Notamacropus eugenii: one gene and its partners. The protein of the gene in region 4 purifies or fractionates together with the protein of the main gene of each other region. This does not show direct contact. Links are inferred from orthologs where the notes say so. Each region holds a gene or a part of one and is shown on either strand. Other genes may lie near its edges.

Region 1 (7,909 bases), on a different chromosome or scaffold from region 4:
TGTGAAAGGTATGAAAGGTACCACTGTCCATTCCCTATTTTTTAAAATCTTGTGACCTTTTTATTCAGGTTAAGTATCTTTATGGAATTTATTATGATAGATTGTGTGAAATGTTGGTCTAAATTGTAATTTGTCAAACTTTTTTTTTTCAACTTTTCTTAGTTAGGCAAGGTAACATAAGCATTTATTAAATGCTTATTTACTATGCTTCAGGCCCTCTGCTAGCAAAAAGAAAGACAGACCCTGCCTCAAGGAGCTTACATTTTATTAAGACAACGTACAAAAGGGAGCTGAAAAGTAGAGGACAAGGAGGAGAGAGTGTTTCAGTGTAATTCTTATCAAATTAGGAATTCTAGTAATTTGTGTTCATGGGTTTATTAAACATTGGATTACTGTATTTGTTCACTTCCTGTTCTTGCTTGTCTAGTTTGTCCCACTAACCCACTTTTCTATTTTTTAACTGGTTTTGATTGTGACTAAATTACAATGTAGTCTGAGGTCTAATAATGTTATGCTTCCTTCATTGTATTTCCCATGAGACACTTGTCTTTTTGTTCTTTTAGATAAATTTTGTTATTTCTTTCTAGCTTTATGATGTATGTCCCAAATGTCTTAGTAGTTTTAAGCTTTAATAGCTATTAAAGTTAAATCTGTATATTAATTTAGGTAGTGCCATCATTTTTATTACAATGGCAAAGCTAAATCACAACCACTGAATGTCTTCAATTATTTGTTTCCTTTTATTTCTGTAAAGAGTGCTTTGTGGTTTATATAAATGGTTCATCCTACTTCTACAATATCTCTAATATTTCTCCCTTTCTCTCTACTCCCTATGGCCACCACTTTAATTCAGTTCCTCGTCAATTCTCAATTGGATTGTTGCAATAGCTTTTTAATTTGTCATCTGCTTCCAGTCTCTTCCCTCTAAAATTCATTCTTTATATAGTTCCCAAATTGGTACTCTTAAAGCAAAGTTCTAATCATGTCATTTCCTTGATCAAGAAATTCCAGTGACTCCCTATTTCCCCTAAGATAAAAATTCAGAGATTCCTCTGCTTGATATTTAGCCCTTCATAATCTCGTCCCAGTCTATCTTTCTAGATATTTTACGTTAACTTCTTCATGCCAGTCAAATAGGCCCACTTGCTGTTCTGTAGATACAACATTCCATCTCCTACCTCTAGGCTTTTGCATAGACTCTCCCTACATCTTGAATGCCCTCACTCACTTCGCTGGCTCCTTTCAAGGTCCAGCTCAGATGTTATTTCAAATCCGAGGCTTTTCCTGATCTCCCATTTGTTAGGGCTCTATTCAACCTCCGCACTCCCCTCCCTCCAATCACTTTATAATTTACCTGTTTTGCATTTTGTGTTCATTTATTTGTATATATGCTTTTTTATCCAGCAGCAGATAAGCTTTTTGAGAGCAAAGTCTACTTTATTTTAATCTTTTTAGCCATAATACTTGACACAGTGCCTTGAATTTATATTTGGGAATTTTTCTTTGACTAAGAATGTAAAATTGAAAATTTATTTTAATTCTATTAAGCTAAATTGTAATCAAGATGTATTTAATATTCCCTTTCACTGTTCCTTCACCCACTAACCACATCCCAGAGAAACTTGGTCAACCTTTTGTCTTGTAATTACCCCTATCTTTGTAACCCCACCTATCACCCACTTTCCAAAGAAACTTGAATAACCTAAAAGGTCAAATCTCATCAATTTAAGCTATTGTAGCAACTCCCATTTGAGGAGAATCTTTATCTTGTGACTCAAATCACCTATCTTGGTTGTGGTAAATGGGGCAGCTGCGGGGCAGGAGCAAGAGAGACCCATCTTCCTGAGTTCAATTCCAGCCTCAGACACTTAGTACCTATGTGACCCTGGGCAAGTCACTTAATCCTGTTTGCCTCAGTTTCCTCATTTGTAAAAATGGCAAGTCACACCCATATTTTTGTTACAAAAACCCCAAATGGGATCATAATGAGTCAAATACAACTGAATAACAACAAGGGGCTTTTAGAAGGGGAGAAAGAAATGATATAATCTTAATTCTGACTATGTCATCAATAGCCAATCAGAAGACACATCTGTACTGCTCAAGATTTTGCTCTGTCATCTTAGTAATTGTTACAAAAGACCCTGTCAGTCCTCACTCAAGGTCTTTGGTTACTGAGACACCATAGACCCAATTTATTGTTTACTGTTGGCCTAACTAATAAATTAATGATACCTGGAACTTTGTCTCTTAGTTTACCTTCATTTTCAAATGTAACAAATTGAACCAAATGACTTCTGAAGTCTGTTCCAACTCTGGAATTTTATATTTCTACTGATTCAAGTTGGACTTGAAGCTGGAAAATTTTCAAGAATAGGTCTTGTGATGGGCTTTATAGCTGTTGTCAGAGGACAAGTTTAGCTAATTTTAGAGAGGTCTATTATCTAGTTGGCCAAACAGTGATGAATTTTTGGCCATGGCAACTCTGAAATACCATTTATTAAATTATAGAGGTATAGTACTCTGCAGCAGAGAAGGATATACCTATACTGATGACATTACAGATCTCTGAGGTTTTGAAGTATGGACTGACAAACAGAATCTCCCACGGTTTGATTCACATCATCTTGGATATGTAGGCATTCAATAGCAGTAGGAAAGCTTGGGTGGAAATCTTGCTCTGACATTTACCAACTATGTGACCTTAGTCTTCACTTAATCTCTTTCAGCCTCATTTTCTTAGTTTTTAAAATGATGATGATACCTATGTGACTATACCCACAACTTAATATTTACCAAGTAACACATCAATTAAGATACAGTTGTGACAAAGACCAAAAGAGATAAAATATGTACAATACAAACGTTGAAGTGTCATATAAATACCAGTTATAATAATTATAGTAACTCCCTCACAGGGTTGCTGTGGGGATCAAATGGGATTGTGTTGAGGCTTAGGGGTGCTTAGGACCCCAAAATACCAACACGCCAGGTCCTGTCTGAATGAATTCGACTCAAGCCTTCTTTCAGCCAAAGAAAAGTAAATTTTATTAAATACCGGCCATATTTGGTAGACTCTTAAGGAACCTAAGCATTTGTGACACTTGTATTGACAAATGGGCCAGACTGAATCCGAGCTAGATAGAATCTTAGCACCTTCAGGGAGGCAAGATGTTTATATACAGAAAGGCTATGGGAGGAATCTAGGGGTGGCCAGATAGTCTGGGGTGATGGGAGGAGGGGCTTAGAGAGGGTTTGAGGAGAAGTCTAAGGAGGCTTTGATGGGACTGGGCTGATTAGAGGTCAAAACCAAGACAGTGGGATTTTGATGGGAAGCAGACAGAGGCAGTCCAGAGCTAACAGACAGAGGAGGGCTAGGCTAGATTACCGGTATTTTGATGGGATCAAGGATGGGAAGCAACCAGAGGCAATTAGACAAGGAGGTAATGAAAGGCTTAGGGCCAGGCCAGATCCACTGAAGATTCAAGGAGAGTTCAAGGGGGTTCCCAGAAGCCTGTACCCTATCAATAGTCTATATGAAGCATTTTGCGAACCTTAAACACTACGTTTTAGCTAATAGTGTTATTATAACTGTAGCACCTGTGCCTGAATGGGCTCGGGTGGTCTCCTAAACTAGGACAGTGTGATAAAAATGTATCAGATACAGTTACATGTTTGCCAATCTTCTTCTGTGTAATAGGGTTGGAAGGAGAGCTAAGCTGGCTGACATGAAACTTGTTCTTATCCGCTAGACTGGGTTGGTACTACTCAAGCACTTTGCCTTCCTCCTCTCTCCCCTAGCAATCCTGAGCCCCAACACGCCATACCCCTAGACTGCAAATGCACTGAAGGACACGGACAGGGCTCTCTTCTCCACAGAAGTGGAGCTCCACTCCTCCTGAAATGCCTTCGGGATCTCTGGTCACCCGGGGGCAGCCCGGGCCCACGCCGCGCGGGTAGAACACGTGGGCAGCCACCACACACTCACTGCTTGTTGGGGATTCCTTCTTGGGGCTGTTCCCTTATTTCTGAAGAGCGGGTGCACCGGGCCGCCTCAATCCCATTCCCTCTCCCACAGAGGCCTCGGCTGAGGCAGCTCAGACCGGGGCTGTCGTTCGCAGAACTTTGGGAGGAATGCCTTCATCACGCAAAGCTGGGGGAGGGAAGGAGCCACGGCTTTAACTTCCGCAAGTATCTGCAAAGAGAACGCTTTTTCGACTTGCAGATGGAAGAACGAGTGCCCCTGGCGGAGCGATCCCGCTGAAGTCCAGGTCGCCGGTCGTGGCCAGGTGAGGCCAGGTGAGGCCAGGTGCTCCGGCCTGGGGCCTCCCGGGGGGCGGGGTGATCCAGCAGAGGTGGCGGACACCGTCCTTCGCGCGGGGCCTGGGGTCACGTCCCGCTCGTTTTCCGCTCCCGCCGCTGGGCCGTGCCTCGGGTTTCTCCAACTGAAGCCAGCGCTCCGGCTGGCAAACTTGAGAGTCGGAGCCCCGGCTCTGCCCCGCTTCCTTTCCCGGGTCTCCGCGGGAGCTCCGCCCCTCTTCAGGTTCAGTCCTCCGCTCAGCGCTCGCTACGGCCTCCGCCCCCCACCCCCAACGCCCCCTCACTGCTGGGAAGACCAGGACAAGTTAAAGCTTTCACTCGGAGCCGTGTCCCGGTGGAAGCTCTTGCGCATGCTCAGAGAGCCGGCTTCTGGCTCAGCCCGGATTTGTCCGCGGCGGCCGTGGCGGCGCCCCGCGCGCTCCCGGGCAGGACGCGCGCGAGAGGACGGCGGGGTAGGGGGAAAGCCTCTGAGTGCGCTCCCGAGTGCGGTGGAGAGGGGAGTGGATGGGGCGCCGCTGCGCGTGCTCCCGGGCATAGTGACGGGGGGCGGGGACGCGCTCTCGGGGCGCGGCGCCGCGGACTAGGGGACGGACGGCGCTCGCTCCCGCGGAAGGAGGTGTGGGCTTGGACTCGGGCGGTGCGGGGTTCGGGGTTGAGGGTTGGGGTGGGGGGGAAGGGGGCCCCAAGGTCTGCGGTCTCCCCTGCCCGTGGGTCCGTGCGGCTGCAGGCGGCCTGCACCGCCGAGGGGCCGACGCCGGGCGGGTGCCGCTGGGAGATGGCCATCCTTGACTCCGAGGGGTGAGGAGAGCCGCCACCGGCTACTGAAGGAAGAGGAGGCGCCGCCGCCGCCGCCACCTCCCGGGCCGGCGGGCGAGGGAGGCGGACCGGCCGCGAGCCTCGGTAAGGACGCGGCGGGGCTCGGGCGGCGGGGCCCGGGCGGCGCAGCGGGCGTCCCTTCGCGGGCCGGGCTGGGGTTCGGGGCTCGGGCCCTCCCCGTCCCCTGGCCGCCCCCGTGCTCCCACCCCCTCGGGCCAGGCGGGGAGGGGGCGGGAAGGAGGGCTCCGGGGAAGGGGAGGGCGGCGCTCGTCCTCCTTCTCGAGTGGGTTCGTGGGTCTTTTCCTGAATGGGACCCGCCAGAGGCCCGCGTTCGTGTCCCGGAGCGGGGAGAGTGTTTTCGTGCGCCCGCGGTCCCGGGCTGCCTGCCGGCTTCTCTGCTCCGTCTCTGCCTCTGCCTCTCCCTCGGTCGCCCTTTTAATAATCTCCTCACCTTCCATGTCCGGGGCGCCCACCCGAGCCCAGCATTTTTCCGTGGCGTGTTGGTGTTGCTCCGCAGACTTCACCGCGCCGTTCCCCTGGCGCACCCCCTTCTGTGACCCTGCGGTTCCCCATGACCTTGCCGTTTTTATTCATCTCCACAATATCATCTTCCCTCTCTCTTTCCCTTCCCCCTCCCAATGTTTCGTCCGTGTCGTTTCTCCATCACCCCTTTGGCATCGGAGCGCTCTTTGGGGGTGTCTGCTTTGGGTTGTCTTAGACATTGACGAAGAAACATTGTCCATTTGCTTTGGCATTCCTGCTTCTCTGGACTTCTAGTAATCTGGTTTTGATTTCTCCTTTTAAAATGTTTTGTGTTGTGTAGGCAAACATGAATAAAGCGGGAAGTGATTTCTATTTCCACATAACACATAAAGTACATTAGAGGTAGGTGTGAAGAAGAGAAGCTTTACAAAGAAATTATTTTGACTTCTGTAACCAGAAACATCTAGTGTGTACTGCACATATAGGTTTATTTTAGTCTGTAGCTTCTTGAAAAATGGCATACGTGGAAAACTGTTAATTTAGGTTCACACTGCCCCACTAAGTCTGTTAATTTAAACTAAACAGGGAAATCAGAAGTACAGTGTATCAAACATTCAAAAGAAAGTGACTTTCAGAAAGACTTTGATTTGGGTGATTTTAAGTAGCAAAATACTTAATGACAAGTTAATTTTCATAGAAGTGACCTTTATAATAATTCCTAGCTAGTTAGCTTTAAAAAAATTAAACTTAATAGTGAACTGATAGGGACTGCTCACTGGACTCCTTTGGTAGTCCAATAAAGCCTATAAACCCCTTCTCAGAATGTTTTTAAATGCATAAAATAAATACGTATGAAAGAGGAACAAGCATTTTGGGTGGTGGGATGGGAGTGGGGAGAAAAATCATTTATGAGGATCCAACTGTGTGCTGGACATTAAGTCCTAAGGGCTTTACAAATGTTTTTCACATTTGATCTTCAAAGCAATCCTTTGAGTTAGGAATTCTTGTTATTCTCGTTTTACAGTTGAAGAAACTGAGCCAGAAAGAAGTTTTAAGTGATTTGCCCAGGGTCACACTTGAATTTCAGGACTTCCCGACTCCAAGTACAGTGCTCTATCCCCTGCGCTGCCTATTTAGTTAGAAAACCAATTATATTGAAATACAGTTATGTAAGTTTTTTTAAGTTCCTGGACCTTGGAAGAGATACAGAAATAATGCATAAATTTTATTCCTTTGTTTTTAACGTTAATAGTATGGTTATAATGTACTATTTTTATAACTCAATGTAAAAAAGGTTTTGTCTTCCAAAAGCATCATTTTGAGTTACAATAAATCAGTCACCAAGTATTTACTAAGGACTAACCATGTTTCAGCCATTGTGTCCCGTGTTGAGAAAGAAAGACAAAAATGAAATTCCATGCCCTTAGTCTGTCAACTCATTTATTATGCACCTGCTGTGTGCCAGGCAGTTTGCTAAATGCTGGGGATAAAAAGAAAGCCAAGAGACAATCCCTTCTGTTAAGGTTCTTACAGTCTAATTTGGGAGACCATATACAAACCTCTGTGTACAAACAAGATTACAGCTAATTGGAGATCATTAAGGTAGGGAAGGCACTAGCATTAAGGGGAATCTTTAAAGTCTTCTTGCTGCATATGGTACTTTAGCTGATAACTTGAAGAAAGTCAAGGAAGTTAGGAGGTGTAGTTGAGAAGGAAGAATTAAGGTTGTGGAATACAGCCATTGAAAAAACTTGGAATCCAGAAATGGAGTGTCAAGTTCAGGAGGGGGAAAAATCCAGCAAAGGAGGTCAGTGTCAGTGGATCTCAGTTTCTTCATGGGGGAGGGGGGAAGGTAGGTAAGGTATAAAAAAAATGGAAGGTAGAAAGGGGCCAGGTTATGGAGGGCTTTCTAAGTCAAAGAGGATTTTATATTTCATTCTAGGGGTGATAGGGAGGCACTGGAGTTGGTTAAAGGGGGTGTTGACATGGTCAGACTTTTGTTTTAGGAAGATTACTTTGACAGGTGAGTGGAGGGTAGACTGGAATGGGGAAAGACTTGAAGCAGGGAGAACAATCAGCAGGGTATTGCAATAGCAGGTGCATGAAGTAATAAGATCATGAACCAGGGTGGTGGTAGTGTAGGAGCACAGGGAGCCTATGTAAGAGATGTTATAAAGGTAGAAACAGAACTTTGCAATCAGTTGGATATGGGTGAAAGTGTGGAATCCAGGATGACATTTGGGTTGCAAGGTTGCAGCCTGGTGATTGGATGATGTTACCTTGGAAAAAA
Region 2 (7,741 bases), on a different chromosome or scaffold from region 4:
ATCCCTTTAAGTGAACCTTCATTTTTTCATTTGTTCCTGTCCACACTGTCAATCTAGTACAGGGCTTGGCAAATATCAAGCCTAACAAATACTTGCTGAATTTAAATAAAATATGCCCACTTGCCGCCAGCTCTTCTATCTCAGGCATAAGACTGAACCAAGCTTCCAGTAAACCTCATTTTTGAATAAGGAGTTCTTCTGAAAGTAAATGGAAAGTATGTGGTACAGTGGATAGAGTCAAGGATGAACTGGGTTCAAATCTCCCTCTCAATCCCATACTAGCTGTGTGGGGCAAGTCACTTAACCTCTCAGTTTCCTCAACTGTAAAATAGGGGTAAATAATCCTGCCTGGAAGAATTAGTGTAAAGACCAAATGAGACAATAATTGTGAAATGCTTATCCAGTGCCTGGTAGTACATAGTAGGTCCCACATAAATATTATTATTATTGTTATGTACAGCCAGGGAGTATTCCTTTCAGGACAAGAAAAAAAGATATCAAGATATTAGGATTTATAACCCAGCACTTCCACTTAACAATGGTGTTACCAGGGACAACTAACTTCCCTCTAAGGCTTTCTTAAAAAAAAAAAAAAAGAATCGAGTGCAAAGTGAGAGGATACAAATACAAAAGCATGGAACATGTACACACTCCCCACTCTCAAGGAGTTTACATTCTGATAGAAGACAGGTTACACAGGAGGCCAAGAAGTCTGAGAGGATCCAGAGGGAAACAAGGCTGCCACACCCCATAGGAGAGCAAAAAAAGTTTATTTTGATTATCACTCCAAAGCTGGAAAGGGAGAAGCAGAGAGATGAGAAGGATGGGAGAGAATAGGTATTTGATCTGGTTTAGAGGCACTGGGCTACTTATTGACTCAAGACCGGGTGAAAGAGAGAATTGTCAGAAATTAAAGTAAAATTAAAGTGAGCTATCATTAAGCCCTCCCAATTCATCTCTACAATATGAAAGTTAACAAGCATTCATTATGAGCTTACTAAAAGTGTTATAAATACTTGAAAAATAATGATCACCCCCTTTTAGAGGGTTGGGGTTTTTTGTTCTCGTTCTTTAACTCTTCAAAGCTTTTACATCAGTTCATTCCCACAGCAATCCAGTGAAGTAGGCAGGCATTATTATACTCATTTTAAAGACCAGGAAACTGAGATCCAAAGAAATTGTGATGTATCTACCATGCTCACACATTTAAGTTAGTAGAGATCGAGGCTCCTTGTCCAGTGTTCTTTCACTGTACCAACCTTTGGATATGTTTTAGGAAGTAAAGTCTTAAGAGCTCCCAAGGATAATTCAGGCTTGTAAATCAACACATAACCACTCCCATCCCTCGGAACTATCTCTCTGCAACAGGTGCCACTAGCCAAGTCCAGTGCCAGTCTTGGGGGAGACAGATTATTAGGGTCTCATCACAAAAGGGCTGAGGGGTAACAAAGTGTTGAACAGCCCTGACCAGTCACTCACAATGTCTCTAGACTTCCAAAGGAAGGAGTCAACCCAGTTAAGAAGAATTTGATAGCTGGTCCTTTGAAACACAAAGCAATATTTTCCATAAACAGGAGGAGGAATGATTTGTGAATAGAAGTATGGAATGCACTTCTGGAGTTTTCTCTCCTTCCCCCCCATTCTACAGAAGCCTCATGTCTTCAGCTAGGCTAGAGAGCTCAACGGCTCCATATCACACCAGCCCCCAGTTATGTCTTTTCTCCAGCCTAATTCCTTTCCCAAATCTGTAACTTAGACATCTCCCCTTCCACTTCTAGGATACTGCTCCCGACCAGACACCCTCCCCCTTCCTGCCTGGAAGTTTCGACCCCTTGAATCCTTCCCCCCACCTCCCCTCCCTACTCCAGTCCCCTCCAGCTTCCCTCCTCCCATCCATCCCGGTCCTAGCCTCCTGGCAGGCTCCCCTCCCCCCAGTCCAATTCTCAAGAGTCCCCTCCCCCCATTCCTGTTCCCTCCCCCTAGTCCTTTCTTCAGTCCCCTCCCCCCATCTAGTTCTTAAGTCCTCCTCAAACTCCCCCACTCCTGCTCCTCTCCCTCCATAGAATTGCCCACCTCAGCCTCCTTTTCCCTCCAGGCTCCCTACCCCCTTAGCCCTGCCTCCCCCTTTCTTTCCTCTCTCCCTCAGGCTACCCTACCCGGCAGTCCTGTCCCCCCTCCACCACCCCACTTTGCCCGCAAGACTCCTCTCTCTCCCAGTCTTGACCCCCGTTTCCTCTCCTTGGTCCTGCCCCCCCCAGTTTCCTCTCCACCTCAGCTCCCCTCCCCCCCTTAGCCTTCCTTCCCCCGCCAAGTCCTGCCTCTCCGCGTCTCTCCTCCCCGTCAGGCTCCTCTCCCCCCTAGTCCTCCCCCCACTCAGTCCCCTCTCCCCCACCTTAGTGTCCTCCCCTCCGTCCTGACCCCCTTGGTCTCCTCTCCCCCCTGGTCCTGCCCCCCTCAGTTTCCCCTCCCCCCTTGGGATCCTCCTCCCTTCTGCCCCGCTTAGTCTCCTCTTCCCCCTAGTCCTGCTCCCCCTTCAGTCTCCCTTCCCCCCTTTAGGGTCCTCCCCCCAGTCCTGCCCCCCTCAGTCTCCCCTCCCCCTCTTAGTCTCCTTTCCCCCCTCGTCTTCCCCCCCCCTCAGTCTCCTGCCCCACCTTGGGATCCTCCCCCATCCTGCCCCCCTTTAGTCTCCTCTCCCCCCAGGCTCCCCCCCTCCCCCGCCCCGTCCCCTTGGTCCCTTCTCCTCCCTCCAGTCTCCCAGGCTCCCTTCCCCCCAGTCCTGTTCTCTCAGAGTCCCCTCCTCCCAGGTCTGCCCCCTCGGGGTCCCATCCCCCCGGTCTGGTCCCCTCAAGCCCCCCAGCCCTGGCCGGCCTCACTCACCGTCGTAGTAGTAACAGACTTTCCGCTTCGTGCCCTGAGTCAGCGCCATCTTGCCTCGCACCCTCGCGCCAGCCCGCGGCGCCGCACTACGTCCAACCTGAGGGAGGGGGCGCGGTCCCCTTCATTCCGCCCGCCCCCTCCCCGCTCATCTACCAGTGTCCGGCCAGGCTTGACGAAACGACAACCAATCACCCCTCAGCATCCCCACCCCGGAAGTTGGCTCCGGGCTAGGAGGCTGGGAAAGAAGCCGGCCCGGACACTCTCCGGTGATACCACGTGTGAAAGCTGGGGGGCGCCCTCTGGCCACAGACTGTACCACAGCGCATTGAAACTGGGGGGCCGCGGAGGGGCAACCTGGCATTGGCCCTTTCTTTAAATGTGCCTTGAACGTCTGGAGACCTGGGTTCAAGGCGGGGGTGGGGGGAGGCTGCTCCACTCACTGGGGGGAGGGGTGAATTTGAAGAGGGCTTTGTCGTTTAGTGGAAGGAAGTCCTCAGTTTCAGTTGGTAGATGGAAGGTTCGAATCCTGTCTAGACTACTTGCTTGTTTCCTAATCTTGAGAAAATCCCTAAGCCTCAGTTTTCTCCTCTATAAAATGGTATCGGACTAAAGACACCCCCCCCCCTTCCAGCACCAAATCCTATGACGAGAAAAGTCACTTCCCCTCCTTGGGCCTCAATCTTCTTTATCTCATCTGTAAAATGAATATAATGCCTCACTGCCTTGTCTCATGGAGCTGCTTTTTTTTAAAAATAAAAATTGTATTGACATCTTTTGTTTTTATGTCACTTAAATTTCTCCTAGAATTCCATCCCATTCCCTTCCTAAAAAGAGAAAATAATATTTTTAAAGGGAAAAAAGTGAGGAAATCAGCAAAATCAATCAATGCATGGGGGAAAATATTTGAAAATATCTGTCAAATTCAACACCATAGACTTTCTACCTCTGCAGAGGAGCAGAACAGGATGTTTTCTCCAGTCTTCTTTTAGAGGCAGGACTGTTCTTTGTAATTCTGCAACAGTTACTTTGGATTGTCTTGTGGCTGTTCCTTCTGGTTACATTGTTATTGTCACTGTGTAAATTGTTTTTCTTGGCTCTGTTTATTTCAGTCTGCACCAGTTCATGTAAGTCTTTTAGTGTTTCTCTGTATTCATCATATTGGTTCTTTCTTGGAGTACAGAAATATATTCCCTTACTTTCAAAGACCAATTCTTTCACAACATGACTAATAAGGATATGTTTTGCATGACTGTGTGTGTACAACAGATATCAAATTGCTTGCCTTCTCAAAGAGGAAAGAGAGAAGGGAGAGAATTTGGAACTCAAAATTTTTAAAAAATGAATGTTAAAATTTGTTTTTACTTGTAATTGGAAAAAATATTTTAAAATAAAGACTAACCAGCCATTCTCCAGTGAACAGGCATCTACTTTGTTTCCTGTTCTTTGCTACCCCCAAATATGCTACTTTAAGTATTTTGATGTATGCTGAGCTTCTCTTGTCTTTGACTTCCTTGTGACATTTCTTGCTTCCTTTTTTTCTTTCTTTTTTACCCCCCAGACTGTGGGGGTGATCTTATCTAAGTAAGGAATGCCCAGTAAGATAACTCCTTCTACCAAATTATAGTCAGAGAATTGCCTGGGAAAGAGAAGTCTGGAAGGACGCTAAAAGGTTAATTGACTAGCCCAGCAACAGATTATTATATGTAGGTCTAATTTCATTCAACATAAGCACCTACTATGTGCAGCTGCTGTACTCAGTCAAGGTCCCTGTATTCAAATCCTAACTGTATTAATGGCTTAGCAATTGACCTTGGGGAAGTTATTATCCCTCTCTAGGTCTCAGTTTTCCTATTTGAAAAATTAGAGGGCTGGACTAGATAATAATAGTATTCATAATAACTGACATGTAGGGTTTTAAAGTTTTCAAAGTATTTTACCAAAACAATCTCACTTGAGTCTCGTATAATGATACAATGGAAAAGCCTGGCTCTGAAGTCAGATAATCTAGGTTCAAATTCAAAATGTTTTACTTACTTCGGCAAGACTCTCACAATCATCTTAGGTCTCAGTTTCCTTATCTGTAAAATGAGGTGCTTGGACTAAATGGTCTTTAAGGTCCCTATTTTATAAATGAGGAAATTAAGATTCAAAAGAGGGGAGGAGAGAGGCAGAGAAAAGAATAGGCATTTCCTAAGTACCTGCTATGTGCCAGGCATTGTGCTAAACACTTTACAAATATTATCCCAATTGATCCTCACTACAACCATGGGAAGTAGGCACTATAATTATCTCCATTTTACAGTTAAAGAAATTCAGGCGGACAGCATTTAAGTGTCTTGCCCTGGGTTAAACTGCTAGTACATGTCTCAGGTCACATTTGAACTCAGTTTGCTGATTGCAGCTCTATCCACTGAGCCACCTAGCAAGCCAAGCCTCCTGACTCCCAGGGGCTCACTAAATTGGTGCTGGACTTAATATGGACACCCAACTGATTTTAACGGACTACAGCTCAGAACTCTTGCTCAAAAGCAAGCCAGCAATCTCAGGGTTTTTTTTTTTTTCCCCATCAACAAGGATTCCAAGTATTTGCCAGTCGTCCTGATCCGTATCTGGCCACTGGACCCAGATGGCTCTGGAGGAGAAAGTGAGGCTGGTGACTTTGCACAGCCCTGCCTCACTTAAATCCAGTTCACTGGCATGTCATGACGTCGCCTCCCTGATGTCATGATCCTCTTCGAGAATGGACAAACCACAGTAACAGGAAGCCTAGTATTGAAAAGAAATTGTTTGGTGACATTGTTTTTAAAGGCAGCTAGGTGGCACAGTGGATAGAGTGCTGCACCTACAGCCAGGAAGACATGAATTCAAATCCTGACTCATTTACCCCTCTCAGTCTCAGTCTCCTCATCTGTAAAATTGTCAAGATTGACTTAGATAACACATGTTAATTATTTTACGAATCTTAAAAATCAATATATATATTTAGCTATTATTATCATTGCTCTGAGGCTCTAAAATGCTACCCTAAAATAAGCTATCATTATTATCCCAGGATGAGATCAGGGGTTCAGGATGGAAGATTTGCTCGGGAGGGGAACACCATTGTCCAAGAGACTCATCTGTAGTGGGGACTCTCCTGGCTAGGCTCCTGATCTTGCCTCCTAGGGGTTATCAGGGGCTCTCAAAGGGCAAACACTTTTGGTGGAATATGCACAAAGACACCTGAACCTTCCATAGCACTCTAAAGCTCTTAAATCACTTTCTCCAATTCAAACATTTGAGGGGTTTTTTAAAGATGAGAAAAGTGAGACTCAGAGAGAAGAAAGTTTCTCAGAGCAGGGATGCATCCCCAGAAATTCTCAAGATCCTATTCCTACCCTTCCCTCTATCCTACCCATAATTTTAGTCATATCTGACTCTGTGCCCCCATTTGTGGTGGTTTTCTTGACAAAGAAACTGAAGTGGTTTGAATTTCCTTCTTCAGTTCCTTTTACAGATGAGAAAATTGCCTAGGGTCACAGAGACAGAAAGGATGTCCGAGGCTGGATTTGAACTCAGGTCCTCCTGAGTCTAGGCCCCATGCTCTATCCACTGTGCCATCTCAATACTCCACTCTATCCTACCACCCTGTTCTGCACGTCCCTTCCTCACAGCCCAGGGATGAGTGCTGAGGGACTATTTTGGGGTCGAGGAGTGGTGGTGGGTAGAGAGAGTCACCATTCTTAGCTAACATTTATTGGATATCCTTTATGTGCCAGGCAGGGTCTGAGAAAGATGCAGAAATGTAGAAGAACAATCCCTGCTCTCAAAAGGCTGCTAAGAATATGAATTTTATGGAAACTGAGACAGTGAATCCACTCTGGGTGAACACATAGACAAAAGAGTCAAAGGGCTGGGGCAAAGTCCAGGCTTCTCCTCTGGCCCTGAGAAATCAGGGAGAGGACAGAGGTAGGGAGTCAGTCTGGGAGACCACATGTTGGGGGTGGGGCACGCAAAGGACAAGCCCAATGCCAAGTCTTCTGCTGTCTTCCTTCCTCGGCAGGTAATGGAGTCACAAGTGTGATGGCTGAGATGTTGGTGCCCCATACCTCCATCCTGAGGCCCTCTGTCTTCTGCCAGATTCTTCCCTGCCTCAGTCTGAGTGGGGTCATTTAGGAGGCAAGAGTAAAGCTGGGGAGGTGGGCCAGGGACTGGGATGGGAGAGACCAAAATAGGAAGGTCATGGCTGGGGCTGGTACTGGCCCTCTGTGGCAGTGAAGAAGTCCTCCAAGACACTCCTCAGGTAATCAAAGGTGGGCCGATCCTCAGGCCTCTCCTTCCAGCACAGCATCATAAGTTTGTATAGTTCTTCTGGGCAGTTGTCAGGCCTCACCATCCGATAGCCTTGCTCCAGGTTCTGAATCACCTCAGGGTTGGTCATTCCTAGTCATTTTGGGGTAGAAAATAAGTGTTCAGGTCAGGGCTGAGGGGGCTGGATAGTATATAGAATGAGGGTTTAGGAGATCAGAGTCTCCAAGGACCTTAGAGATGATCTAACCCATTTCTCTCCAAGGCCTAAAGATTAAGGGGCCATCTAGAATACATCACAAGTTTCTCATCATCACCCTCTACAATGTCACCAAGAAGTACTCATCCATCACTGTTCTGATTACTTTCCCTTCCCTCCCCCCAATTCCCTCACCTATCCCCAGGAACGTACCCCAGAATTGAAAGAGACCTTTGTCCCCCCACTCTAGCTGGGTTAGCCTAAAGTATGGCCTTAATTCTGATAAAATGGGTCTAAGAAGTAGTTCTGAGCTTGTAAAATGTTTTCTTTCTGGACCCCACCCCTAAACCTGGAGAGAGGTGTGACCGAGGAAAATAA
Region 3 (6,963 bases), on a different chromosome or scaffold from region 4:
CACAGGAGGAAAGGGGGGAGGCTGGGCTTTGAGTTGCGTCTGGAATGAAGTCAGAGAAGCTACAAGGTTGAGGTGAGCAGGGATAGCATTCCAGGGATGGGGGACAGCCAAAGCAAATGTGTGGAATAGTGAGATTAGCCCACTTTCAATTCTATGAGCAGATTTTCCATTTTCCTGAACCTCAAAGAAATTCCGGAATCTGTATAGGAAAAACAAAACAAAACCTACTCCAAAGATCCTTGAAAACAACTTTATCTATTACTTCCTACGATTGTGGTCATAAGTAACACTACTCCTACAAACACCCTCCTGACACCCCAAAGCCCACAAGCCACTATTGAAATCTTTCTCTGTAGGCCAGACGGCACCCAGGGAGGGACAGCCTTCCTACCAAAACAGCTCAAGACTTTTCAGGAGAAACTTCCAAGTTTCTTAAGGACTCCCTAAATAAAGAACAAATCCAATTAAAATCAATCTCTTTCAATTCAACAACTATTTAAAAGGCACCAACTGTGTGTAAAAGACCAGTAGACCAGGCACTGGGCCTGAAACTCAGGAAACCTTAAGTTCAAAGCCAATCTCAAACAGTTCTCAACTGTGTGACCCTGGGCAAATCACATAACCTCTGTCTGTTCCCTAGATACAGAGGCAATAATAACAGCGTCTACCTCCCAGGTGGTTGTGAGGATTAAGTGAGATAAAATTTGTAAAGAGTTTAGCATAGTGCCTGGCAGATGGTTATCCCGAGCCACCCTTACCCCCATCCCCAATCCCATCATCAAAGACAACATGCTGGGATATAAAATTTCCAGAAGTACTAAACTAACTTTTAATAAACTTCAATTGGAAATTAAACAACGTGTTGTAACACAGAATAAAGTTGTTTGGCTTGAAAATTTAACATCTAGCAGAATAGACTCTTTAAGATGCATAGTGTTTCCTCCAGGAAACAAAGAGCTACTAATGATAGCTAAAGTTTCCCCTCCCCTTTCCTTGGAAATAATGAAGTAATAACTTAGAACTGGTGCCCAAAAATAGATAACCTTGTCTAACTATGTTTGGGGCAAAGGAGTAAACAATCAAAAGATCTGGATTCTCAATTTCACTGTCACTTGCCAAAGGACCCTGGCCAAGTCCTTCTGATTCTAGGTTTACTCACCTCAAAATGGGAACGCCAACCGCCCTGCCTATGCCATTGGATGTTTTGGGAATTAAATGAGACTAGAAGCATTACTGCTATTTCTACTACTTGCCAACAACTATGCCTAGGCCCACCATGAATCTTCTGGTCAGTGACAGATTTCAACATGCCAATTTCATGTTTTCAAATTTTGGTAACAAAGCCACAAAACGGAGGTAAATAAAGTAGATAAGTTTAAATAGGCATTTAAACTAAAAATGAAGCAACCACATAGAGGACACAAAAGGGCGCTGAGGAAGAGCTAGGAATATGACTACCTCTGTCTCTTATTTATAAAGAGATGTCTACTGTTTTGAGACACTCAGTCTTGTTCTAAACCAAAAGCAAGCTGGAGTAGGGACCTATATGCATTTGAGAAAAAAACATGAAAGGTATTCAAAGCCCTCTTTTTACAATACTTCAAAGTAATCACGAAATTGACTCTGATAGGTGCAAAGTACTGAGTTTTTCTCCCATAAAAGGAATTGAAGCAATAATTTTCCAACCCCAAAATATTACAAAACATTATGTGCATTTTGTAGGATTTTAGTTCCTATTTAAGGCTTGTAATCTTCCACAAAACTGCAGCATTATTGAGTGGACAGAAAGGGAAATTTGGCAACAGAGCACCTCAGTGCAAATCCTTGCTCAGTCGCCTATGTGACTATGTGACCTTGGGCAAATCTTTTCCCCCCTCTGGGCCTCCTTTGCTCATCTGTAAAAGGAGATGGCTGGACTACAGATGATCTTCAGGGCCCTCACAAGCTCTAAAACCTACTCTCATGTTTAATCTGGGGCACAGAAGTGACCTTGGGATCTTTAGGTTGGCTCACCTGTAACTTTCTGGACCAAAGCCCCTTACCCTGACACATAAAAAAGTGCTTAACAAGTGATTTTTCATTCATTAAAAGCTACATCAGTAGAAAATACACTCTTACACGTCTCACCTGTCTGGAAGACTTCATATGCAGATACTTCAACAGACTGTACATCCAAGGCTCAACCTAATTTTGTAGAGTCTCATCACTAAAGGTAAAGTCACCATGTTTCTGACCACTGAAACTCATAAATACCATTTATGGAGGCAGAGTAGAGCTACAATCTAGACCCTTTCCTTCCTGAAATCCTTTAAATAATTTTGGTTTAAAAAGAATTAAAGCTTATTTTATTTTCAAAACTGCCTTTCACTTGGGCTTCATCATGAATATCCAAACTTCTGGGGGACAGTGGTAAGAGTTTAAAATTAATTAAAATGAATTAACTAAAATGAATTACTGCAGAGTGCTACCTTACATAAATTTATAGAAGCATACAGAATATACAAATCTATATCAATGCGGATTTACACGTAAACCTATGCGTTCACACAGACATCCTACATACAGCAAGTGCACGGGGGGACAAGGAAAAGCTACTTCTCTGAGTCCCCGTCTTTACCCACAGGAACAAAGGTCTCTCCGGCTCAGCCCTGCGGATCTGTTACCAAGGCAGGCAGGACCGGACTGGACTCAATAATTCAGCTCGGACACAAGAGAAAAATAAAGAGGGAACGCAGGACGTGAGCAGGAAGCCGCCTGTAGAGTTGGGACGGCCGGGACCCGAGGGCTGCTTCCGGGCCGGGCCGGGCGCACGGCTCTTCCGGGTTCTATTTTATTTATTCTATTCTGGAAGCCTGCAGGGTGAGCTGGGCTAAAGGAGGCTGCCAGGAAAGATGATCTCTGGAGAGCGGGGACGCCGGCACGAGTGGAAAAACCGGGGCGTCGGAGGCAGGAGACGCGGAAAGATGAAGCGGACCGAGGGAACCCTGCCGGAGGGGGAGGGGGAGGGGAGCGGAGGGGGGAGGGGGGAGGGGGGAGGGGAGCGGAGGGGGGGGCAGCGGCCGGAGCAGGAGCAGCCAGGGCTCCCTCCCCACGACCTTCGCCCCCGGCTTCTCACACTCTCAGCTCCTCCAGCCTGAGGACTGTCCGCTTTTTGCCTTTCCGGGGATCCCGGCACACAGTAGGCGCTTAAGAGATGCCCCTTGCCAGCCCCTTGCCAGCCCCCGCCCCCAGGTCACCGGCGCCGGGCCCTGCCCTGCCCCCGGCTCTCCGCGGGACGCTCCCGCCCCCTCCCTTCCCCTCCCCCCGAGCCTCCCAAAGTGGGTGTATAGACAAACCCCTCCTCAGAGGCCGGAACCACCGTCCCAGGCCCCTCCCACAGGAAGCCGCCTCCCCCCGCCTCAAAAGCCGGCAGCCAAGCCTCGGCCCGCCCCGGCCCGGGCTGCCCGACCCTCCCGGGGCCCGCCCGCCCGGCCCGGCTCCGAGGCTAGATCCCTACCTGCAGCAGGCCAAGCAGCGGCGCCGAACTCCTCTTCTACTTCCGCCTTCGACAGCTGGAACTCGGGCCGGGTCAGGTGGCCATTGTTGGTCACCTGACCCGGAAGAGGCGAGCCCGGCCCACACAAGTGTGGGCAGGCGAAGCCGAGAGCGCTGGAGGGCGCCAGGAGTTGGGCGGGGCGGGGGCGAGGCTTGCGGGGAGCCAGCCCCTTTCCCAGTTTCTTTATATTTATTCAGAATTAACCTTGAACTCGAGCTGCAGCCCGCTTTAGAGTCCAAGCTCCCTGAGGGCAGGAGCTCCGTTTGGTTCCTTGTTATGTTCTGGGCTCCATCCCCAGTGCCAGGACCCACAAGAGGCATCTTTTTCTTGGAGAAAGTTCTAGAATGAATGAATGAATGAGAAATAATTTGTTAAGCGCTTACAGTTGATACTGTACCTAGCTGGGGATACAGATTCAATTCAATCCAATAAACATTTATTGTCTACCCGGTATTGGGGCGACTAGGTGGCACAGTGCTCTAGTCAGGAGGACCTGAGTTCAAATCCAGCCTCAGACACTTACTAGCTGCGTGACCCTGGTCAAGTCACTTAACCCTGTTTGCCTCAGTTTCCGCATCTGTAAAATGAGATGGAGAGGAGTATAACAAATCACTCTAGTAGCTTTGCCAAGAAAATTCCCCAAAGGGGTCAGGAAGACTCAGACACAAGTGGAAACAAGCAAAAAGCAGCATTCCAGGGACTGTGCTCCGTTCTGGGGATACAAAAACAGGCACCAGACATATTTATGGGACAGTTCCACTTCCAAAGGCATTCACCATATTGGGGGTGATTCCAGCTGCTGAGGGGGGTTATCCAAAGGACCAGGGGAGCCTTTCCTGTGGGGTGAGAGGAGGCAGGAAACATTACACCTGTAGGTTTCAGCCACATGAGCAGTTCTATTGATTTTTAATTATATGTTTTTTTCAATTAACAAGCATTTATTTTCTACATCTCCTACCTCAGTGGGGAGAGGGGAATTGAGAAAAGAAAGACGGAAAAGCAAAACTGCACGGTCAACAAAACACATTTTCACAGTGTCCATGTCTAAAAACTTACTCCTGGAGATGTACCATGGTTGCCTCCTTCTGTCGGGGTGAATAGGCTTGCTAGGTAGCATTATTCCTTATGTAGGAAACAAAGGAAAGAGTTCTGTTTCCACAGGGTAGAAACTTCCAGCTTTGAGTGATAATAGTCAGACTAGTTGTAACCTAGCACGGTCAGGTGAAAAAAGTTAGAAACTTGCAAGAGAAAGCAGGGGTTAAATGTCCATAAAGGTTGTTAGCCCCTAAGGTTACTGAATAAAAACTGCAGGAGACCCTGATCAATCAGAAAACGGTTAGCGGCTTTCAGAAGGAAATTGGTCCAGCTTAAGCCAGCTGGAGTCACTGGTAGGGCAACCTAAAAAATCCAGCTGTGCTTGCTTAATGACATACAGTGGGCATGTCAAAAGATTGTGACCTGAAAGAGAATGGACCAATCCATCCTCTGGTGGGAGAATCTGTCCTTCACTAACATTATAAAAATGCATTAGCTTCTGTATCTCTCTCTCTTCCCCTTTTTGAAGAGTCTACTTTGGCTAAAGTGTTCAATTCCTCTGAACTCTAATACATTTTTCTTCATACTTTTTCAGTGTCAAGCATGTTTCTAACACTTATCAGTTCTATGGAACAGTGATCGTAAGTTTTCTTGACTGTTCAATAAAAGAATGCCTATAATAGGTGGTCAGAAATTAGACTAAGTAAGAAAAGGAAGATGATGGACAGAATTTTCCAGATACCTGCTGTTGCCAGGCAGCATGACCAAGAGCAGGATTAAAGCCACTTTAGTTCTATAGTCCCTTAAGGTTTGCAAAATGCTTTACATATATCTATGTAATAACCCTGTAAGGCAAATGCTATTATTACCTTCAATTTACAGATTAAGAGAGTGAAGGTTTATGAGGTTACAGGACTTGCCCAGGGTCACACCATTAATAAGCCTCTAAGGCAGGATTTGAATTCAGGTCTTTTTGACACCAAGTCCAGCATTCAACCCATCTCATTGACTTAAACCTCTCCATCCACCTAGCATGTTAGCATGGATTTAAACGGGATGTGCACAGCACAATGGGATGTGCTGACTCATTTCCCAGCTGACCACTCTGGACTTTTCCCACACCCCTTTGTACTTAGTTCATCACACCCCAGGAACCACATCATCCTGTAAAATCTCTTCAGCCTTGTTACTCACACTTCCTCGGTTCTGATTGGAAGGCAAAACAAAGAGCTCCTCCCAAACCCTCCAATTAAGGGGTACCAGGCAAGCCAAGTCTTCTTTTCCTGCTGGACTGCATACTCCTTCGGACTCCTCTCACAGTCCCCCAGCCCCACCCCTTGTCAGTTTCCTTTGTTGTCTTCCCAAGTTAGATTCTGATTTCCTGTAGTATACAGACTTTCTGTTTCCCATTTTTATCCCTAGAGCATAGTAGGGTGCCTGGCATACAGTAAATGTTTATCAATTGTTGTTGTTCGCCCATGTCCAACTTTTTCGTGACCTCTTTTAGGGTTTTCTTGATAAAGACATTGGAGTGGTTTGCCATTTCCTTCTCCAGTTCATTTCACAAATGAGAAAACTGAGGAAAACAGAGTTAAGTGACTTGTCCAGGGTCACATAGCGAGTAAGTGTCTGAGGCCAGATTTTTAATTCTGGTCTAAACAATTGGAAAAATATTAATTGCTCATGAGCCAATATAAAAATGACAGTTCTACCTAAATTAACTTATTCATTCAGTGCCATACCAATCAAATGATCAAAAATTATTTTATAAAGCTAGAAAAAAATAACAAAACTCATCTGGAAGAACAAAAGCTCAGGGATAGCAAGGAAATCAATGAAAAAAAATGCAAAATAAAGTGGTCCAGCCATACTAGATTTCAAACTGTATTATGAAGCAATAATTATCAAAACAATCAAAAACAGACTAAGAAATAGAATGGTAGATCAGTGGAATAGATTGGGTACAAATTACATTATAGTAAATGACCATAGTAACCTAGCATATGATAAACTCAAAGATCTGAGTTTTTGGAACAAAAATTCATTATTTGATAAAAACTGCTAGAAAATTGGAAAACAATGTGGCAGAAACCAGGTATATAGACCAACATTTCATACTATATACCAAGATAAAGTCAAAATGGGTACATGATTTACACACAGAGGGTGATACCACAAACAAATTAAGAGAAAATTAAACAGCATATCTGACAGGTTTATGAATAAGGGAAGATTTTAGGACCAAAGAAGATATAGAGAACATTACAAAATGTAAAATAGATAATTTTGATTATATGAAATTTTAAAGCTTTTGCACAAACAAAATCAATGCAACCAAAATTATAAGGAAAGCAGAAAACCAGTGAAATTTTTTTGCAACAGGTATCTCTGAT
Region 4 (7,347 bases):
GACCATCATGCCTCTGAAAAAGCAGTCCAGGAGAGACAGAAAGAAACAGGTAGATAAACAGCTGCTTCTCTTCTTTGGTACATTCACTGCACATTGTTGTTCACAATACAGGGATCCACCTAGAAGGGAAAAAAGAAAGATGGTTTTAGATTTAGAGGGTAGGAGAGAAGCAGGGGAATCAGAATATGTAAGTTGGGAACCCCCACCTCCACCTTCATTCAATGAAGGTAATAATTCTCACCTCAGTGTAAGTGGGTGGAGGCATAAACTTGAACTGGGATGCATACATAAAGATGGGGCTGTCCAGAGAGCTATCATCAAGGAGAGGAGTGGTGGGGCTCTCCAGTCTGTGATCTTCAGGAATAATATCCGTGTAGCAAGGAGGTGCTGCATAGAGAAAATAGAGAAAATAAACAACTCAGACAACCAAATTCTGATTTCCAGGAATCTTTGGTGGGAAAATAGGAGTACAGGGGTATACTACTTTGGCTCACCTTCTGGAGTGTCAGGGATGTTTAGATCCACCCAACTCATTTCAGAGCTGGTTCGGCTAGCCATGCTGGATGTCCGACTACTGAGTCCTGACCTGCTGCCGATGACTAGGGGCAGGTCAAGAATGACCTTCTTAGATCCAGGGACACTGACATAGATCTATATATAGGAAAGAAAAAAATTGTTTCTGTTACACCAGAGTGCCATGACATATAAATATAAAACTGCTTGATTCAATGATCAATTTACCCTAATCCCAGAGACAGACTCACTCACCAATAAAGAGTATTCAACACGAAGGATGTTGCAGCCAAGGATGGAGGGTTTAATCTTCTGTACACGAAGGCTTTTGCCACGCCATGATTCACAGGTGCCAGAAATGATATGGTTGCCTCGAACAGAAGATAGCTTTTGGGTCAACACCTTGGTCTGGCCATTGGCAAGGTAAGTGTGGCGGGCAACAATAGCAGCCTTTGGCATAACGATTCGGGAACACGTATTCTCAAAGTCAGCATTGATGGAGATTTCATCACCTGACAAAAGCATTGATTTTTGTTACTAAAGACTGTATAGCTGATGATTTATGGCTCATAACCCTTCCCCAACACTATGCAATAGCTGCCTCTCCCAAGCCCAGACTTCTCTTACCTTCACAAAATCCTTTTCGGTCAATCCGGGCAGAGACAGATACCCTCCCATCAGGAATAAACAGGCAAGAAACTTTTTTCTCCTTTTTGGCAGACACAGGTGCCTGAATAGGGAAAATAAAGAAATCTTTGTTAAAGTTTCTGAGAATTGCCAAGTAAAGATGGCTCCTGCTTTTCATTATGAGGACCTCTATCTCCTGAGATTCTAGTCCATTATCATGTAATATTAGATAAGACCTGCAGTATCATCATCTACCATAATTATACTCTCCTCTAAGCTCTGCTTGAACATCTTTGTCAATGGTCATGACAACCAGGTTTTGTAGGGTTTAGTGAGACTATACTGCTGTCAGAAACTTTAAGAGTTAAATGTTTATTCACTTTCATTTTAAGCTAAAGATTAGATTTTTATTTTCAGTATACGCCTTGTCAAGAGGCAGGGTTCCTGCTTCCTAAGATCTCTCACTACTCAAGACTTAAGCCTATTGGGAAAGCTTACCATCAAATCAGGAGTATTAACATCCACTGGATCTACCACTTCAAAGTACTTCTTGGTTTCTTGAGTTGGCTGGCTGGGACGGTCTAGGAAAGCCTTTACCCAGTAGTCTACACAGCCATACTTCCCCTTGAATGAGGTTCCCAGAGGCCTAGGGTGGAATAAAGAGAACGATTCCTTTTAGATTACTCAACCATCAAGAAACCTTGGGTGCCTAAGGGAAGGGAGGTTTTAAAGAAAAGGACAGCAGAGCTAACACCTACCCTTGAGGAAGTTCAAAGCCGAACTTGTACTCATACTTGTTTCCAGGTCTCAGGATCACAAACTCATCGTTAGCTTCAGGGAAAGGAAAAAAAAAAAGATCCACCATTAGACTTACTAAAAAAGTGGTACTGATCTTATTTTAAATGCAGAAATGCCTAAACAATATAAGGACCATTTTCTGAAACTAACTACATTCCAGTCTCCCGAAAGGAAAGGTTAATGATGTAAAGGAGTCCAAAGCGCCGACCCTGAAACCAGCTCTAACACTGAGACTTCGTTAAGCATCCAAGGCACTGCAGCTTAGCTCAAGCGAAGGCTGGGAATACTCCTCACTTGGCCAGATGCAAGGACAAAGATTCAGCTCCCCCCGCCCCCCCCCAGAACAGTGCCCCAGGGCTCCCTTTCTAACAGCTGGGGCCCTCCCCCCACCCCCGCCCTGCAGGGCGCGCCCCTTACCTGCGGGCTGGTCTTCCAGCAGGAGCGTGTCCTCGTAGCGCAGGTAGTCCACCACCTGCTTGCACTGCTGCGAGCCCTGCAGCCACAGCACTTTGGCCACTCCGCAGGCCAGGATCCTGACCGCCTTGACCCGGGTCACCTCGCACACCTCCACCACCACCCGGCCGGCCACCTTCTCCCCACTGCTGTACACCTTGTCGGGGTCGCTGAAGACCACCTCGAAAGTCTTGATTTTCTTGAACATCACCATAGCTGGGGGTTGGGTCACTCAGAGAACGGGGCAGACAAGGAATAAAGTTTCTCGAGAGAGAGAGCCGAAGGAGGATTTAACCTTTCCGGTTAAGCGGAGGACGGACAGTTCGGTCTCCCTGGTCTGGATGGGCTTGTCCGCTGACAGGCTGGGCGCTTGGATTCTAAGAAATCGAAGAGCCTCTCAAATCAGCCTTTGCAAACTTTTAAAAAGTAGAAAAGCCTAGAAAATATAAGTCAAGGGACTTCGAAAGAAAAAAAAGGCTTCGTGTCTGAGACCAAAAGGAGTTTTAAGGAAATGCCCCTCCCCGAAATCTGGGGACGAGAAAGCACAGGTCCGAAGGCAGCGCTCTAGGGATTGACTCAAGGAGCAGGCGGAAACAGCCCTATATAGGGCTCTAACTGTCGGAGCCACGCGAGGGCCTGCGAGGTGGCTCGTGCTGTCCTCGTGCACAATCTTCCCATTGGCTGCCTTTTCCTTGTTTACCAGGGACACAGCCAATCAGCGCGCGGCCTGGAGCGCGTGGACACAGTGTGCCCCTGGCGGGGTAAACGGTTGTTGTGCACGGTTTCCTCCGAGGAAGGAGGGGGCGGAGGGGTTCTTGAGCGACGTCCCTGGAGACAAATGAAAGGAGGGCGAAGGGATTGCCCCTAAGCCTATCAGCGTTCTAATAGACGTCGGAGGGCGGGTGTTGATGTCAAGGACTGGCGTTTTTGGGTGAAAGGGGAAAAGCCCCCCAGGGGCATGGCAGGCTTCTCTTTAGTGCGCGAGGCTAACTTTAGGGTAACCCAACCTTGCTCAGGCCCCTCAGATCTCGAGTCATCTCTGACTGTCCTCTGTTCACCCAATTTAGGCGACTTTCCTCAAAGACATTCCCACAGAAACCCTGGAAAGTTCTCCATTAAATTGAGAATTGAAGGAATGGGGACGGAGGGAGAATTCCTTTTTCAGGCAAACCCTCCCCAGAAAACTTAGAGAAAAAAGGGGGGGGTCACTGGTGTCTGTCAACTTTCTCTTCAGTCTGAGCCCCCAAATTGGACATTGGGGGGCGTGAGTTTTCTCACCCCCCTTTCCTTCAGCTCCTGGCTTCCTCACAAGGATTATTGCCTTTCCTCACCTTCTTTTCCCCCTCCCCTCCTCAACCACCCTGTTCTTTTTGAAAGGGAAACAAGAAGGGTGTGTGGCTTAACCCCCCATCTCTGCGTCGTCTTTCCCTGTAGAGCAGGGGGGACACTGTGTCCATGCCCCCATGTACCTGGTCGCCCCTTTGAGGAATACAGCGAATATAGTGCGTTTATCCCCAAGCATCTGCTTGGCCAATCTTGCTTCACACCTGACAAAGCCATAGGATCCTCCACCCATCTCTAATGCCTGACCTAAGCGCTCTCTGAGCCAGCTGGCACCCCCTGCTCTGGCACCCTCTGCCCTCCCTACACGCTCCCGCAGCCCCCCAAAAAGGGGGAAAACCAACCTCAAGATGAAGGAGAAAAACTTGTGTCTCAGCTCATGGAAGAAGCAATCCTAAGCACAACAGAACAGTTGTTTTTTTCAAGTATATATATGATTATTGATCACTACTTTTTCCAAAAGCCTTTAGAAAATGAAGAAATGAAGGGAAGAGGAAGCAGATTTGGAAGTCTCCAGAAAGTCTAACTAATATCCTATTGTGTGCTGTGCTTTCAGGAGGCTTAATTTGGATCTCTCTATCAGGTGGGTTTTCCCCTGAATGAGTTGGCCATAAGATCTTAGAAGATGACTATTGAAAGTTAGTCCTACTAAGGCCAAAAACTCTGTTATAATTAGAACTTTTATTTTTAGATGCAGTTCATCTTTCCTTTCTTAGGCTCCCTGTCTTTTCTATTTGTGGATATCTGAAATTTGCTTCAGTCCTCCTGGTCAGAAGGGGATGCTGATGTCCAAAAGTCTGAGAACATATAGAAAGGCAGTAGAATGGAATGGAACCCCACTTCCTCCACTATTTTTTTCCTATGATGATAAGGACCTTAATTCCTTCATCTCACACCCCAATTGTGATAACACCCTCAGGCTAGCAAATTACAATCGAAGAGGAGAAAGTTCCGGGATGAGGCTTGATGACTTAATTGGTAAGAAAGAACGGAATTAGCCCCAGGAACATCTTGATCCCAGGGGGTGTGTGGGTTAGAAGTAGCACTCTGTTGTACAGTTACCTAACAAAATAGAGGGTGTTTTTGTCAGTGAAGAGCAGTGATTGAGTTCCCAGGTCAGTCTTGGTGTGATGTTTCACAGTCCTTAACGCTGAAGGATTTGCTTTTAGATAGTAGAGAACGAACAAAAAGAAAAAAACAACATAAAAACACAAAATACATCAGACTGTAAATTAAAGTTTAATTATTGTGCATATGAGTATCGAAGGTAGAGAAGAGCTACAGAGTAATTGAAGCTGTAGTATTATAGAAGACTTCTTGGAGAAGTTAAAAACACTGATATTTATCTGGGCATAACCATGAAATGCTGAATCCAACTCTTTTTCCATATCCTACAATAAATCTGTCTTTGTCCTGGGTATTTTTCTTACGTATTTTTCTGTTATCGCCACTCTTTGCAGACCTGAGTGGTATGGATATGCTCCCTGTTATGCCAAGCTTGCCTTGAATGTCAAAAAACTATTTAGCTTTGGCAGTAATAACTTGCCAGGGCCTTCGGCCAAGATATTTTCTGAAACGGCACCCTCAACAACAGGGTTGTTTACAACCTTTCCCTTGATAACCTGCTAAAAAAAAATAAAATCAGCCTCCAGAATCTTCCCCCCAGTTCTTGGGTTGAGGAAAGAGAAAATTCTGCAAATTCCTTTTCCCAAAAGAAGCGCATTGAGGGTACAAGAAGGGGATAAACTTGGGAGGGGCTGCACAGTAGTGCTAGGTACAAGAACTTTGCATATTAGTGCACCTTTTTCTTTTCAGGCCTCGGTTTTCTTCACTTGAGTCAGAGGGAAACTAAAAAGTGATTGTTGTTTGTTTGCTTTTCTTTGGGTGGAGGTGTTGAATACAAGCCAAGATCTTAAGGAATAAGGTGTCCTCACTGATTAGTCTGCTGTTGGGCAGAGACAAGTTACAAGCTGCCCTGTTCAACCTCAGGCCTTGGCCTCAGGGATTTAAGAAATCTAGTAGCCTCAGCCCATGAGTTTGTTGCTCCACTATGCACCTCCAGTTGTATTTGTGACTCCCAATATCCATAACTTCCCTCTCTGACTACTCATTTAATTTCTTTCCCTCCTTCCTCTCCCTATCCCTCCCCCACCTTTTTAGAGGGAATTTCACTTTAGGGGAAAATAGGAGGCCTGGATGAAAGAGAGGGCATCTCATAACTATGAAGATTGACCTTGGTGGTAGTAGTAGAGTTAAGGATACTTGTAAAACAGAATTGAATTTGGAAGAATTTTTTCTAGTGTAGACTTAACCAGGCCTCTATCAATATTCAGTGAGAGCCGTGAATATAGGACCATAAGGTCATAGATTTAGAGCAGGGAAATAATTCAAAAGACAGAGCATTCTTTTTGTTTCCTATTCTGTAAAGGGATATGCTACAACTAGTTCAAGTCCTCATTACTTCTTAACTAGAATACTGTCTTATCCTAATTGGTTGCCCCTTCTCTAATTTATCTTTGAAACTACTATCAAAATAATTTCCTTGTATATAAGATGTTATTCTTTTTAAAAAAACCTTTAGATGCTCCCTGTTGTTTATTGAATAAAATATATGCTTCTCATCCTGTCATTCAAGACCCCAACATAGCTTTAAGCATCATCACATACTAGTTCCCCCTGCACTTTATATTCTACCCTAAGTAGATTTTTCAGTGATTCTCAGCTTTGTCTTGCCCTTCCTTCCTTGCCTTTATATATGATAGTCCTCAAAATAAAGCCCTCCTCCCCCCCCTTTTTTTTTTGGACCTAGCCTCTCTTTGAAGAGTGCCTCTCATTATTATATCCCTTGCTTGGGCTTGGCAGCCCTGTGCTTTTCTGAAAATGTATATATGCTATGTTTATATAGCCAACATCCTCTAGCCATTTTGTGATATCAGAGACAGGAAAACCACTTCCCCCAATAAAACTCACAACTTTTGCCTGCACCCTGGGTGTATGTATCCCTTCCCCAGGTGTCCTAGAGTTGCCCTGCTTGTATCCATCCCTTATTGCTCTTGGCTCTCTGTTCCTGCCCCTGGGTATCTCCTTATACCTTTCCTTATATGAGTCAAAATGTAGTCAAAATAAAGTTTTATTGTTAAGCATTTACTGTCTTATTCTTTTGTGAAATTTTGGAGATCTCAAACTGCTATGTCACTAGGACAGTATATTTATGCACCCTGAGGCAGTGAAAAGAACAATGGATTTGACATTCAAAATCCTTCACACGTTGGCCCTATCTACCTTTTCCGATCTCTTAAATTTTATATTCCCACACCCTTCCATTAAGTGACTTTGGTTTTCCTGCAGTTTTTCTAACAAGACACTTATCTCTCCAGTTGGGCATTTTCACTGGCTATCCCCATGCCTGGAAATCTTTTCTTTGTCATCTCTGTCTCCTGGCTTCCTTTAAGTCTTAGCTGAAATCCTACCTTCTACAAGATGCCATTCCTCATTCTCTTTAGTTCAAATTTCCATACTGTCTAACCCAGTGGACAGACAACTTCTTGAAAGCAGGAACTGTTTTTTGCTTTTCTTTTTTTCCCCAGAACTTACACAGTGCCTGGCACATAGTAA

Evidence for each region.
Region 1: the proteins of TXNIP (region 4) and WWP1 purify together in Homo sapiens (affinity purification with mass spectrometry; 4 studies listed by BioGRID and IntAct, counting the BioPlex papers as one, with this or other methods). This does not show direct contact. The link is inferred for Notamacropus eugenii from reciprocal best matches to the Homo sapiens genes TXNIP and WWP1.
Region 2: the proteins of TXNIP (region 4) and HDAC1 purify together in Homo sapiens (affinity purification with western blotting; 3 studies listed by BioGRID, with this or other methods). This does not show direct contact. The link is inferred for Notamacropus eugenii from reciprocal best matches to the Homo sapiens genes TXNIP and HDAC1.
Region 3: the proteins of TXNIP (region 4) and WWP2 purify together in Homo sapiens (affinity purification with mass spectrometry; 3 studies listed by BioGRID and IntAct, with this or other methods). This does not show direct contact. The link is inferred for Notamacropus eugenii from reciprocal best matches to the Homo sapiens genes TXNIP and WWP2.

What each region holds. Positions count from the first base shown.
Region 1 is NC_092875.1:168,486,714-168,494,622, reverse strand, and holds the start of WWP1 (NEDD4-like E3 ubiquitin-protein ligase WWP1), read left to right. Parts: upstream 1-4,908; 5' UTR 4,909-5,220; intron 5,221-7,909. UniProt on the Homo sapiens protein: E3 ubiquitin-protein ligase which accepts ubiquitin from an E2 ubiquitin-conjugating enzyme in the form of a thioester and then directly transfers the ubiquitin to targeted substrates.
Region 2 is NC_092876.1:77,578,657-77,586,397, forward strand, and holds the start of HDAC1 (histone deacetylase 1), read right to left. Parts: upstream 3,003-7,741; 5' UTR 2,927-3,002; coding exon 2,878-2,926; intron 1-2,877. Other genes in the region: tyrosine-protein kinase Lck, read right to left, coding at 7,097-7,299. UniProt on the Homo sapiens protein: Histone deacetylase that catalyzes the deacetylation of lysine residues on the N-terminal part of the core histones (H2A, H2B, H3 and H4).
Region 3 is NC_092872.1:709,228,262-709,235,224, reverse strand, and holds the start of WWP2 (NEDD4-like E3 ubiquitin-protein ligase WWP2), read right to left. Parts: upstream 3,014-6,963; 5' UTR 2,173-3,013; coding exon 2,128-2,172; intron 1-2,127. UniProt on the Homo sapiens protein: E3 ubiquitin-protein ligase which accepts ubiquitin from an E2 ubiquitin-conjugating enzyme in the form of a thioester and then directly transfers the ubiquitin to targeted substrates.
Region 4 is NC_092873.1:303,293,935-303,301,281, forward strand, and holds the start of TXNIP (thioredoxin-interacting protein), read right to left. Parts: upstream 3,020-7,347; 5' UTR 2,606-3,019; coding exon 2,356-2,605; intron 1,972-2,355; coding exon 1,899-1,971; intron 1,787-1,898; coding exon 1,639-1,786; intron 1,244-1,638; coding exon 1,141-1,243; intron 1,026-1,140; coding exon 769-1,025; intron 652-768; coding exon 495-651; intron 388-494; coding exon 242-387; intron 120-241; coding exon 84-119; 3' UTR 1-83. UniProt on the Homo sapiens protein: May act as an oxidative stress mediator by inhibiting thioredoxin activity or by limiting its bioavailability.